Linked DNA regions of Arabidopsis thaliana. The protein of the gene in region 1 interacts with the protein of each later gene in a pairwise test. Each region holds a gene or a part of one and is shown in the gene's direction. Other genes may lie near its edges.

The links. Proteins that work in one complex are often made in the same cells at the same time.
Region 2: the proteins of PPa5 (region 1) and AT2G32840 interact in a two-hybrid assay, tested with the Arabidopsis thaliana proteins (one large-scale study listed by BioGRID).
Region 3: the proteins of PPa5 (region 1) and PTEN1 interact in a two-hybrid assay, tested with the Arabidopsis thaliana proteins (one large-scale study listed by BioGRID).

The regions. Positions count from the first base shown.
Region 1 is NC_003075.7:624,208-628,663, forward strand, and holds PPa5 (pyrophosphorylase 5), read left to right. Parts: upstream 1-1,861; 5' UTR 1,862-1,995; intron 1,996-2,012; exon of another isoform or gene 2,013-2,115; intron 2,116-2,331; coding exon 2,332-2,467; intron 2,468-2,542; coding exon 2,543-2,571; intron 2,572-2,648; coding exon 2,649-2,714; intron 2,715-2,794; coding exon 2,795-2,902; intron 2,903-2,984; coding exon 2,985-3,050; intron 3,051-3,144; coding exon 3,145-3,265; intron 3,266-3,345; coding exon 3,346-3,427; intron 3,428-3,508; coding exon 3,509-3,551; 3' UTR 3,552-3,863; downstream 3,864-4,456. Other genes in the region: TIP1;3 (tonoplast intrinsic protein 1;3), read right to left, coding at 885-1,643.
Region 2 is NC_003071.7:13,932,234-13,936,876, reverse strand, and holds AT2G32840 (proline-rich family protein), read left to right. Parts: upstream 1-1,927; 5' UTR 1,928-2,040; coding exon 2,041-2,595; intron 2,596-2,838; coding exon 2,839-2,891; intron 2,892-2,981; coding exon 2,982-3,021; intron 3,022-3,118; coding exon 3,119-3,196; intron 3,197-3,299; coding exon 3,300-3,413; coding exon of another isoform or gene 3,414-3,449; exon of another isoform or gene 3,450-3,506; coding exon 3,507-3,586; intron 3,587-3,682; coding exon 3,683-3,776; 3' UTR 3,777-4,038; downstream 4,039-4,643. Other genes in the region: AT2G32850 (Protein kinase superfamily protein), read left to right, coding at 1-30, 110-203, 282-946, 1,043-1,429.
Region 3 is NC_003076.8:15,764,136-15,768,959, forward strand, and holds PTEN1 (Calcium/lipid-binding (CaLB) phosphatase), read left to right. Parts: upstream 1-1,901; 5' UTR 1,902-2,036; intron 2,037-2,114; 5' UTR 2,115-2,115; coding exon 2,116-2,397; intron 2,398-2,470; coding exon 2,471-2,647; intron 2,648-2,708; coding exon 2,709-2,822; intron 2,823-2,885; coding exon 2,886-3,065; intron 3,066-3,150; coding exon 3,151-3,393; intron 3,394-3,466; coding exon 3,467-3,568; intron 3,569-3,646; coding exon 3,647-3,787; 3' UTR 3,788-4,219; downstream 4,220-4,824. Other genes in the region: AT5G39390 (Leucine-rich repeat protein kinase family protein), read right to left, coding at 1-599, 656-892, 987-1,334; AT5G39410 (Saccharopine dehydrogenase), read right to left, coding at 4,280-4,824. UniProt on the Arabidopsis thaliana protein: Protein tyrosine phosphatase that also exhibits lipid phosphatase activity. Can use phosphatidylinositol substrates such as PtdIns(3,4,5)P(3) as substrate. Pollen-specific phosphatase required for pollen development.

The DNA.
Region 1 (4,456 bases):
ATATGTTTAATTTTTAAATAGAGAAATGGTCAACGTAGCACAATTAACTTGTAATAGAGAATTGCTCAACGTAGCACAATTAGTGTAGATCTTTAAAATTAAATCATCGAGCGAATTTTAGAATTCTCCCAAATAGTTGTTATCTGCAAATGTCATGTTATTTACAATTCTTGATACATAAAATAGTTAGTTTTCCATGTGGTAAAAACAATAAAACATACGACCAATCGACCATTGACATAACTCTTCTAAATCCACGATGAGTTATATATATAAACTTATAATACTAATCACAATTATTGTTATTGAGGAATATACATCGTGAGTATCATCAAATCTCGTCATCGCACTTTGCTTGAACGTGCAAGAAACTTGGAAACGCGTTTAGAGCAAACACCGGGACACCGAAGTACCGTTTATTGAATTCCTTTTTTTGTGTGTGTTGTTCAATACTTAAATCGACTAAAAAATCATTAGCCTAAGATTCACATATCAGAACGTGCTTGGGCCAAAAATAAAATAAAGAACGTGCATGGACCAACCAACCATATATATATCTTCATAGTATTATTGATAATGGCGGGTCCCATTATGTTTGATATATTTTCAGTTTTCACCATGGAAGCATAATCTCAAGAATATGCCTCCAATAAAATTCGTTTGTACATGAATTCCTTAAGTATGGCAGAATACTACGTATACCCCACATAATAGTTTAATCTAATTTAAATTAGTGTAAATTTTCCACCAATCAATTTATTAATTACTTAAAACAACAAAAGTAGTGAAAAACAATTAAAAACACATATCTCCCTCAAAATACCCATAGTAGGCTACAACTGTAGATTTCTTGTTTCACAAGACACAAGAAAAAAAAACCTAACTTAGAAATCATTAGAAGGAAGTGGTTCATGTCCATTACTACCGATAAAGATAGTATCATAAACAATAGCTGCAATGGCTGCACCGATAAAAGGACCAACCCAATAGACCCAATGATTCGTCCAAATCCAGCTAACCACGGCCGGACCAAATGAAACCGCGGGGTTCATCGATGCACCGTCGAAAGCACCACCAACCAGAATGTTAGCTCCAACGATTAACCCAATCGCCAAAGGCGCAATGATTCCAATATCACCTTTCTTGGGATCCACGGCAGTAGCGTAAACCGTGTAAACTAACCCAAACGTCATCACAATCTCGAAAACGACTGCGTTCCAGGGCGTCACTCCATATGATAGCGAAAACGCAGCCGTTTCCATCCCGCCAGTGCTTACCTTGAGCAACAAGCAAGCTACGACTGCTCCGAGTAATTGAGCGATCCAATAAAGAATAGCTCTCAACAACGTTATGTTTCCACCAATAAAAGCCCCAAATGTAACCGCCGGGTTCACATGACCACCTGAAACGTTAGCTCCAACGGAAACCGCAACGAACAACGCAAACGCATGAGACAAAGACGCGGCCACAAGACCGGCAGGTGTGGCTGGACCATCTCCAGTTAGTTTTCCATAAGCCATTCCAGAGCCTTGACCCGCGAAAACGAATATAACCATCGAGAAAAACTCCGCGAAAGCTGCTCTAATCGCATCGGGACGACTAGCTTCCCCCGGCGTTCCAATCGCAATTCTGTTGATAGGCATCGTTACAAAAAAATTTGCTTTCTTGCTTCCTCTTCATTTTGTTTTTCATCAGTAAAAGTTTAAATAGTTAAAGCGTTAGTGCCAAGTGTGTGTATGAGAATCGTTCAAGAGACTGAGATTAGTGTTTTACGGTGGGCCCTAGGTTATAAGAAATCGAACGGTGATTATAAATTCATATTTAATTAATAACTTACTTACCAATTAATTAAATCTTAATCCGTTTTTCTCGCTTTCTATAAATACTATTATGGGTAGCAATTGAAGAACACGCGCTTTACTGTTTTCTCATCATCGTCACTTTTCTTTCTCCACACTTTCCGCAAGATTGTTCTGTTCTTCAAACGATTCTAAGGTACGACTTTTTTTTTTGAAGGTTCTTGATCTCAACTTTTGTTGCGTATTGATGTTTGATCCTCTGGATTTTGTATCCAACGGAAGATCTATCGAGAAATGAACAAATTCGATACAAATTGTTAGTGTTTAGCTGAATTATGTAGATTTTGTTAACTTCGATCTTGAAGATGATTGATGTTTATCGTACTAGTAGAATCTGATGTTAAATCTTTGAGTGATGGATCGTGTTATCAGCATCAATAGTGAAAAGATTCTATATTGATTTAGACGTGAAGTCATGAAAATTGACTAACAAGATTCTAACGTTTGGTTCTGTTTTGCTCTGTTTTATTAGATGAATGGAGAAGAAGTGAAAACGAGTCAACCTCAGAAGAAGCTTCAGAACCCTACTCCACGTTTAAACGAGAGGATTCTCTCATCTTTGTCTAAGAGATCGGTTGCTGCACATCCATGGCATGATCTTGAAATCGGTAATAATCACTGTTTTAAAGATATTCTGTGTGTTTGATTAGAGTCTTTTTAACTAAATTGTTCTATGTGTGCAGGACCTGGAGCTCCAGTGATTTTCAATGTGGTAAAGTCTTTATGCTTGATGATGTGACAATCCGATCGAAAAAGAGTTAATCATTTGTCTTTTTTGGATGAAATTAGGTTATTGAGATCTCAAAGGGGAGCAAAGTCAAATATGAACTTGACAAAAAAACAGGTCTCATCAAGGTAAAAAGATATCAAATCTTGAAAAAACAGAATGATCTGAGGATATATGATGATCGTAAGTGTTTGTATATGTCTATCAGGTTGATAGGATTCTTTATTCTTCGGTTGTGTATCCTCACAACTACGGGTTTGTCCCACGCACACTATGTGAAGACAATGACCCTATAGATGTTTTAGTTATCATGCAGGTTTGAGTCTAATTCTAACAACATTCACCAAAAGAAAATGAAATGGCTGAAATAATTTCTTATCAAAGTTGATTATGTACAGGAGCCTGTGCTTCCGGGTTGTTTTCTTCGCGCCCGAGCTATTGGTTTAATGCCTATGATTGACCAGGTAACATCCTAAGCTTTAGTTTTTCATGTTTCCTTGTGCTTCAAGTTTGTGTAACCATTGTAGCTAATTCTTTGGGGTTTTGGTTGAAATAAAGGGTGAAAAAGATGACAAGATCATTGCAGTTTGTGTTGATGATCCTGAGTATAAGCACATCACTAACATCAATGAACTTCCTCCTCATCGTCTTTCTGAAATCCGTCGATTCTTTGAAGACTGTATCCTTAAAACCTATTTTAATACTTGATTAGGAAACAAAACCATTTCTTTTTTGCTATCTTTAACCAAAATATAACAGACAAGAAGAATGAGAACAAGGAAGTTGCAGTGAATGATTTTCTACAACCTGGTCCTGCTATTGAAGCCATTCAGTACTCAATGTAAACTTTTTTTTCTTTTTACCTTTTTTACATAATTTGCTTTTCTTTTAAGCAAATCTTGATGTTTGAAATCATTCACAGGGATCTTTACGCTGAGTACATTCTTCACACCCTGAGGAGATAGATGAAAAGAAGACTTCTTCAAGAACATTCCTGCCAATTTTTGGGTCTGCAATCTCAGATTCTGTTGCAGTGAATATGCAAAAGAACAAGAATTTGTCTTATATTTGGATTTTTTTTGAATAAGCACGTGTCTCATATTTGGCTTTGACGCTTTCCTTTTTGTTGTTGTTGTTGTTGTTGTCTTCTGGGGATGTTTTGTCTGAACATTAAGAGTTTGTATTTGTAACACTGCCTTTGGATCTTTTTTTAATAATTTCAAGCTTCGATTTGGTTCCAATGAAACCAGACTTTTGTTTTTATAAATAAGTGTCACTGTCATTTTTGAAGAGTCCCCATTCCACATTTTGTTTTCCTCTGAAATCCAAATCCCAATTAGATTTGCAGAATCAGAATGAGAAAATGTCAGGTGGTGGAGAACTTCTTTTTCTTTCTTTTGTCAGATAGTTGGATCTGCTGCTCACCCCAAAATGGGCCTGGCCCAGTATATATCAATACCAGTAAATTGGCGCGTGTATATCAATCTCCTTTTCACTAAAAAAACACTTAATACCAGAATATATTTTACCAAAAATCTTATTAGTTCTCTAGTTTTTTTTTTTTAAATCTAAATATAAGCGTAATACTTCATCCTTTTTTAATAAGTGATATTTAAAAAATTTATACATGTATATTATCTATTTTACACCTACATTCTATTAATTTTCAAAACAAAAGTAATAGGACTAAGCATTTATTGTAAGGTTGATTTTGAAAATAGTTAATAGTTTTACATGAAAAAATATTGAATATTATTTAAAGTGAAGCAAAATAATTTGGCTACATGTCACTTATTATAAATAAAAAAATACACATAACATTAGAGAATCAATCTTACTGAAACAAAAAAAATTGTGAAAGAGTAGATGG
Region 2 (4,643 bases), on another chromosome or scaffold:
TCACCCGATGAACGACCAGATATTACACAGGTTAAAAGTCAATTTTTACTCATTGTTTCTTCTCAGTTGAGGAAATGTAAAATGTCTCTAACAACATGTCCATCTACAGATTTGGTTTCGTGTCAATGAGCAGCTTCCTGCTAATTTACAGAAATCATTACCGGATCGACCACCTGAAATGCAATCTACTGGAGTCCATGATGGTATAGTGAATAAAACCTATTTTGGATAGCTTCTCAAAGAAAGATGTGATTTCTTTTGATCCTTATGAATTTTGACAGGCTCATCAAAATCAGCAACTAAACCTTCTCCAGCACCTCGTAGAAGTCCGCCACCGCCGCCACCATCTTCTGGAGAATCAGATAGTGGAGGACCGCTCGGTGCCTTTTGGGCGACTCAGCATGCTAAAACCTCAGTTGTATCAGAAGATAACAAAAACATGCCTAAATTTGATGAACCAAACAGTAACACATCTAAATCTGAAAGAGTTCGTGTGGATAGTCATCAACCCAAAAAACCAAGTCCTGTGAGAGGAGAGGCTCGTGGTATTCAAAGAAATAAAGATCTTGAAACTACGATTTCTCAGAAGAATACAACTCCTGCTGCAGCCAATAACATGACAAGAGTGTCCAAGGATGATGCCTTCAACTCGTTTGTTGCTGACTTTGATACCACAAAGTTCGATAATGGTAATAAACCTGGCAAAGAAGAGGCATTGGAAGCTGAGATACAGAGGTTAAAAGACGAGTTGAAGCAAACAAAATCAGAGAAGGCAGAAATAACTGCTAAGTTTGAAAAGCTTTCTGCTATCTGCAGATCGCAAAGGCAAGAGTTGCAGGATCTCAAACAAACACTTGCCTCTAAAAGTGCCTCACCGTCACCGAGCAGAGACTCTTCACAAAATCAACCCTCTCCAGGGATGCATTCCATGTCATCAACTCCATCGGTATTATTCTTGGTTCTTGTTCATCTAAGCTTAGACACCCATACAAAAGTCTTCATCAATGTATATCTTAGAATTCTAATGTTCTTGATGAAACAGAGAGATAAGATGGAAGGAACAATGTGGGAACTTCAACAGGACAGATCTAACTGGTCAACTGGCAGCTCTGATACAAATTCATGGCAACCTTTTAGTGATGAAGCGAAACCCGTGATGGAATCTGCATCAAAGGGTAACAATAATACGATTAATCAGTCTGTGAGAACCAGAAGTAAACCAGCTTCTGCTGCAGGTACTCAAGGTTTTGAGCCATGGGGTTTCGAGACAGAATCCTTTAGAGCCGCTGCAACGTCTGCAGCTGCTACTTCTGCATCTGGAACACAAAGATCTATGGGCTCTGGAAACAGCACTTCACAGAGATATGGGAACTCAAAGATGAGAGAAAACCAGAAAACAGCTCAACCTGCTGGATGGGCCGGCTTCTAAAACTCACTCAGATGCGCATTGCTATTTCTTCCTCATGCAACAACAACAGCTTCATGTTGCTGCCATTACAGAATCTTGAATCTTTTTGTAGATGATGATCATCCCCTGTTTTTGTGCTGCTGCTAAATATACCCCACCCATATCCATTATGTTTTATGTAGAGTCTTAAACTTTACACATTCTCTGAGCTGTGGCCAGATATCTCAGCTTATGGATTATTATTGGAAAAATAAATAATTCAAGATTCAGACAGCTTACACTTCTTTCTGTGAAACTTAGAACTAAGGTCACATTTAATACCGAACCCAACCATACGATGGCTGCATTATGGTTTAAATGTTACCCAAAAAGATTTCAGCCGTAACTAAATCAGCATTTTAAAATCCTGGATTAATTTTCGTTAATGTAAATCTCACATTGAACCGGACCCGAGTAGAAAAAAGTAAAAAACCGAACCAAAACATTAAATACCGAGCCCTAGTTTAGTTAGTTAGAAGGAACTTAAAAAGAGTTCGTGTCCTGAAAATCAAAGAAAAAGCTACCAAATTTTGAATCGTTGTCTTTAACTTGATTTTCCCCAAATTTCTCAGAAATCAAAATCCGCCGGAACAATGTCTACTCCCGATCCCAATCCCAATCCAAATCCAAATCCTTCCGTCTCTGTAGCAGTATCGACTCCAATCGTCACCGCATCTGAATCTCCGGTGACACAACCTAACACAGTCATAACGCCGTCGTCTCAACCTCAACCTCAAACACCAGCTTCGTCGTACAGAGCCATAGCTCCGCTTCATCGTCATCATCCTCATCAAAATATCTACACTAACCCTTTACCGATTAGGCGTTCGAATTCCGTTACTAATTCGCCTCATCAGCCTCCTCACCCAGACCCGTCTAGTCTGATATACCCGTTTGGTTCTTCGGGTCGAGGGTTTCCGACCCGACCCGTTAGACAGAATTCCAATTCCGTCGCTGATCCAGTTGGTAGTCCTAGTCCAGGTGGGTATACTCCTCGAGGGCCAGTTTACGGATACCACCATGGCCAATTCGTGTCGAATTTGGATCCAATGAATCAGTTCATGAGAGCTGCACATCCTCAGAATCAACAATCTCCTCAACTTGGTTCCGGTCATATGAAAGGAGTTCCTCATTTTTTGCAACCTCGGGTTAGTTATCGTTTTCGTTACCAAAACAAGTTTGAATCTTTTTGTTTAATTCCATAGTTTTGTCAAGTGTTTTTTTTGTAGCTTGTGCTAGTTAGTGAAAATGTGTATGTTGAAGTGAAGATTATTTGCTTTGGTGATTGTAGAATTCGAATAGCAATCTCTAATGAATTAGGAAAGGTTGAAACTTCTGTTAGATATTTGTGTGAGGTTACATTTTGTAAATTTTGGATTTTTGATTGTTAGGCTACTCCTTCTCCAACTTCAATTCTAGACAACAGTGGGCATAAGAAGGCCAGGTACTTTATCTTCTTTGCCATTATGCTTTGTTAATTAGAAACTACTCTAGAAACTTAATAATGTCTCTGTTTCGTTTCCATGGTGTTTAGGAGCCGGGATGATGCTCTGGTCCTCGTTAGAAAAAGAAAGGTATAGTTTTATCCTTGTTTTTTGGTTTTGCATTATCGTTCGAAACCGCTTGCTTCGCCATTTGAGGAATTTTAAATACTTTTTATTTGTTCTGCAGGTTAGAATAACCGAGGGAGCTTCTTTATACTCGCTGTGTCGATCTTGGTTGAGAAATGGTGCTCATGAGGGAATTAAGGTTCGTATCCATTTCTTATTTCTGCTTTGTAGTATAATGCAACACTTGGATTTTTGTATATCTATTCTTGATATCTTTGGAAGATTAATGACGTTGTTTACAGCCGCAGCGAATTGATATGATGACATGTTTGCCAAAGCCTTTACCTGTGGACAAGACGGAGACAAGTTTGCCAAAAGATTTAGTTGAAGAAGCAATTTGCGAAGAAGACAAAGAGGTTTCGTGTTTCTCTGATTTCTTTCTAAAATGGTAATTGTGAAGGGTAAAGCTAAGTTTGATTATTTACTTCAACTCTCTTGATGAGCTTCAGGACGAGGAATCTGTGAAACATTTGTCAGAATCTGATCTTTTGAAAAGACATATAGACCGAGCTAAGAAGGTCCGCGCTCGGTGAGTCCCACAACATATCATCAAAGCTAAGTTCGATGGTTGAAGATTGAATATTTTTTGTTTTGAACAAAATTGTGTGGTTTGTTTTGTTTGCAGATTGAGAGAAGAACGGTTAAAGAGAATCGCGAGGTACAAGGCAAGATTGGCTCTTCTTCTGCCACCCTTTGGAGAGCAATGCAGGAACGAGTAATGATTTTAAAGTTAGGGACTTCGGTGTGAATATACTTGCAGTTGATTTAGAAATGACATAAATTATCTTAGAGCCAGAGTTATGTCTTATGTCTGTGTGTAATATAAGAAAGATTTTCTCTGAATTTTCGTCATACACTCGTATTAGATGATTCTAAACTAATCAACAATCTCAAGATTTTCTGAGATGGTTAACTTATATAGCTCTTATCTTTTTTTTTTTTCAAGAACACCTAGTAGTTCTTGGACAAGTAAAATTTTCAATATAGTATTCGGTCATGGTGGGTCGACCATGTTTTGAACGCTGGATCGATCATCATGTGGTCGGACGATCATAATTTCAGAGATTGATCGACCATCCTTGGAAGCACGAACACATTTAGTCATGTGTTTGAATTTTCTTTTATCTTATTTGTTTCCAACTCCCAAATGATACGAAATGTCACAAAAACTCTTAAAATCACTACATAATCTAAGACTTCCTAAGACACAAATACTCCTATGGACATTAAAACAAGATTTTATCAACAGTGAAGCCATATTATCATCACTGTAGTTCTGAAAATGCCATATTGCCCAAAGTCTTTTCTAGCTAGTATGCCATAGTGGCTAACATCTTCTTCTTTCTTTTCATCTCTCTAAATAAGCAAAAAATTGAGAGGCTTTCTCTTCCTCTTCTATTCCTCTCCAACATAGTATTCATTCTCTCCTCATCTCATCTCTTGTTTCTTTTCAGCCGGAGCTTGTGCCGATGGTTCTACGTCGATCTCACTCTCTCAACGACGAAGAAAACATCCCCCAAAGCCTCCTTCTATGTCCAAATGTAAAGCTTCTCCGCAGCACACAACCTTCCACCGCTGTACCACCA
Region 3 (4,824 bases), on another chromosome or scaffold:
GCATAGCCAATGGTACCTCTCACACCGGCAGAACTGAACTGGTTTAGAAAGGTTTTCTCATCGAAATTATAAAGGAGCCGAGCCAAACCAAAGTCACTAACATGAGCCGTCAAATCATCGTCTAGAAGAACGTTGCTTGGCTTAATATCACAATGAGCGACAGGGTCATGACAATAAACATGCAGATACTCCAAAGCAGAAGCCACATCTATTGCTATGTTGACTTTCTCTGCAAATGTTAAAGACCTTGAGTGATTGTTTGCACTTTCCAAATCTTCTGGCTGTAGCCACATATCTAGACTTCCTTTTGGCATGAACTCATAGACTAAAGCTCTGAAATCATTTCCTTGGGAATCAAGGCTTGAGCAAACTGTTATCAGTTTCGCAAGGTTACGGTGCCTAATACCTTTGAAAGATTCACATTCCGCTATAAAGCTTTTTGTTGCTCCATGTTTCAGGAGGTTCAAAACTTTAACCGCGACGAGTTTTTCCTCGAGGCCAAGCAATCCTTTAAACACATCACTGAAGTTGCCTGAACCAATTAGATTGCTTGAAGAGAAGCCACTTGTTGCATTATAAAGCTCTTCATAACTTATCTTCTCAAAAAACATCCCCACAGTAGTAGAATCAGATGGATTAGTATACTACCACTAACATCGTTCTTCTTCTTGAACCAAGACAAAGAAGCCACAATTATGAATAAAAAAAGCAAAGCTACACCTACACCAACGGCAACTTTCTCTCCAAGTGAGAAAGGCTTTTTCTGCCTTGGTGATTCAATGCATGGCTTTAGTTGCATTTCTATGACGCCTCCACATAGATTTTCATTTCCAAAGACAGAAACTGTTGTACCGTTTTGAAAAACTCCTTTCGTTGGTACGCTTCCTTCGAACTTGTTCAAGAAGATTAAAAAGACTAACCAGAATCTTTCCTTCTAGAAGATTATAGCTCATGTTCAAGTACCGAAGCCTAAATAGCATTCCTACCTCTTGAGGGATATTACTTTGAAAAGAGTTGTCACCAAGATTAAGTGATCTGAGAAATGAGAGATTACCAATAGAAGGTGAGATCGAACCGGACAATTTGAATCCTCCAAGGTCTAGACTTGTAACTCTTTCTTGTTTCCGACCACATGTAATCCCAATCCAATGGCAAAGTGGAAAGGAGTGATTCCATGAAGCTAAGACCTCTCTCTTGTTTTCAGTAACTTGAGACTTGAACTCAAGCAAAGCTTGCATATCAGTCTCATTTGAAAACCTAGCTTGAGCAAAAACTAAGATGCAAACTTGAAGTAACATGAGAGCATTGAAAGCAAAAAAAAGAGAGATCTTCATGTCGATTATAAGAAGGATAAAAGAAAGGTTTTGCTTCAATTTAAAATCCCAAAAATGAAAAGACTAACACGAATTTAGCTTAATGGTTACAAAACTATAAGAAAATGGTCACCAAGAAAGCAATTTGCGTCGACTTATGAGATACGTCGTTTGAATAACACGACTTCTCATCAGTCAAACTTATGACCGTGTCAGAAAAAAAAAAAAAAACACAATCTCTTGTATTGACAAATCTTCTTTCAAACATTTGAATATTAACAACATTGATGATAGCAACTTTCGAAAAAAAAAACATAGCATATAGTTTTGTTCATACTAATGGAATCTTTACTTGTTAGAAAAGAAAGCTTTAGAATTGAAGAATCAAAAGGATCACTCTTCTTATATACCCTTATACATTCCCGCCAAAACTAACCGCTACAGGTAAAGAGAGAAAATAAGAGTAGAGAGAGAAACCTAAATTTAAAGGGAAGCTTGGCTAAATTTCAGGAGCTCCAAAAATGGAATTGCATCGTTGTTCATCGTTTTCTTCTATGAATGACCATTATCTCTATTCATGTAACAAAACCCATTTTCTCCAAAAAAAGTTGAAATTTTTCGGTTTTGTATTACCTCGCGACATCTTCTTCCTTCTCGGGTTCCCAATTCCCTCAATTTGGGAACCTGAAAATCTCTTCCTCAACTTCATGATCAATTCTTCAGGTATATAAACCCTTTGATGATAAGTTTTTTTCTTGTGGTGTACGTTATCTAACCTAATGATATGTTTTCTTCCTTCAGAATGGGTCTCAAGCTCTCACGAGGGCCTGTAAAAGAAAAATCACCTTTGGAATTCACAAGGGTTCACATTCTGACTTACTTCACCACAAATTCTTACCTACGTAACTTGGTGTCCAAGAAACGAAGACGGTTAATCATCGGTGGATATGATCTCGACATGTCTTACATCTCCGACAAATTATTGGCAATGTCTTTTCCAGCTGAACGAATGAGAGCAGTCTATAGAAACCCTCTTTGGCAAGTCAAGTCCGTGCTCGATATGCGACATCCTGATCATTACAAGGTCAATAAAACAAACGTCTAATATTAAAACATCAATCAACTAGCTATTTTTATTAACATTGAAATTTGGTCAGGTCTATAATCTATGTATAGAGGAATCTTATGATCCAGACAACTTTTATGGCCGCGTGGAGCGATTTCCGTTTGATGACAATCATGTTCCATCCCTCAAAATGATCCAACTTTTCTGTGAAAGTGTTCATTCTTGGCTCTCATTAGATCCCAAGAACATCGCGGTTGTTCATTGCATGGTACTTTCTTAAAACCAAATCCACATTGTAGCATTGCCATATTCTAATGTACTTTGTGCAGGCAGGAAAAGGTAGAACAGGGCTAATGGTATCGGCGTACCTTGTTTACGGTGGCATGTCAGCTGAAGAAGCTCTTGAGATGTATGCAAGCAGAAGAACAACAAACAATAATGGAGTAAGTCCTTAATTTTAGCTATGGAGTAATAGAGAATGAAGCTAATAAACAATACCATGACAGGTCTCAATACCAAGCCAACGTCGTTATGTGAAGTACTGGTCAGATTTACTTTCGTTCAGTAAAAAAGGACCTCCCGAGGTTAAATTACCGCAAGAACATAGCAGAGAGTTGTTGCGAATTAGACTTTATGATACAGCTAACGTTGATTCCGTCTTCTTTGTGGTTTCAGAACTTCAGGAGGTAATGATATATACACTTTGATGCATTGTAGACTCTGTTTCTGTTTGATATATACACTTTGATGCGATGATGTATATGATGTTAGGTTCCAAATGAGATGTATCGACCGTCTGTAGAACTTGCAAGAGGTTGTTGTAGACAATTCAAGAAAGGGTATTGTAGAAGTTCGAGTCCACGGTATTATATATCTCATGTGAACTGTGATTCAGAAGAAGATGAGGAAGTAACAGACGGAGAAGAGCCACATCTTGTTGTTCAGATGGATACAGAGAGTTCCATTATCGACGAAAAAACTTGTCTTGATTTCTACTTTGACAAACCTGTGAGAGTAAGTCACAAAACAAATATTCTTCAGACAATGTTTTTGATAAGATTTTGATAAGCATATGATTCTTGGACAGGTTAGTGGTGACATACGCATCACATTCTACCAGAAAATGATTGGAAGCCGCCTTTTTTATACTTGCTTCAACACAGCTTTTATAACCAATGGCTTACTTCAGGTAAAGAATTCTCCAGATGCCTCAAACTCATTGTTCTCTCTTGACATTCTTATCAATGGTCATTTCTTGCTCCGGCAGTTTTCCATAGGAGAGCTAGATAAAGTTGGTGGTAACGGAAGATCGATATCTGGTCCTGATTTTAGCTTGGAGTTACTCTTTGGCCCAGCTTGTTCGAAATTCGGAAAGTTTCTTTCCCGCGATGACCTTTCTCTCTCTTGAGGCCTCATTTTCAGCTCATTGGATTTCAACACTTGAGTTTTTAAACGGTTCTGTTTCATCACTCAGCCACAAAAGAGGCCTGACTAGCTCAGCTGAGACCTGCAAAACACTTCAATGGCTGATAACAGTGTTTAGCATGTACAAATGCAGAGGCAAATGGGAGATCATCAAACAATGTCAGCAAACGAACCACTTTCTCAACAATGTTTTGTTTTGTTTTTGTAGCAGGGACTGCAATTTTGGTAAATGATAGACAGTAATAAGATTTATGGGATTCTCTTACCATCCATTTTTTTCATTAAGATGGTCTGTTTCCAGTTTTAAGAACCACATTCTCTGTTTTGAGTACATACATATCTCCATAGCAAACGTAAAGGAAACAGTTTTATTATTATTGGAATACAACTTACCATCAAACTGTCTTCAATGTCACTGTGAAGCATAACATAACAACTAAAAACAGAATAGAAAAGCAGGATAAGAGATCTCTTTTTATCCTTGAGTCTTGATCTTTGAAATCAGCTCAAAAGATATACCATTATCCTCAAGTCGCTGCTGGATATCGGTTGAACCAAACACAATGCCGGGTGTGTAGACTCCTCCTTTAACTAGGCTTTCGCGCTGGCCCAAGACTATCAAACCGCATTGAACAAGTGTTATCGGGGTGGTTATATATCCAATCTCAGGTCCTGAAATTCTTGTAATGATTTCCAAGTCAGGCTTTGTTTCTCCTTGTGAAGCTAGACTCTCTTCGCTGTACCCACGACCTATGAACCACATCTTAAACGTAGCGCTTTCTACCTCTTCTTCACTTGGACCTTTCTTCTGGAACCAACCAAGGCTGAAAACTGAAGGGAATTTCAAAAGAAGCCATCTTCCGAAGGAGAACTTGGAAAGTAAACCAAGTGACACTCCAAGTGTAACATATCGGAATATCCCAAAGAGAGATTTGGACGTTATCTTTACACCAAAATGAGCAGGCTTGATCGATGACCAGAATGCTTCTCTCTTTTGTATCTGCTCAGGACTTTCATTAA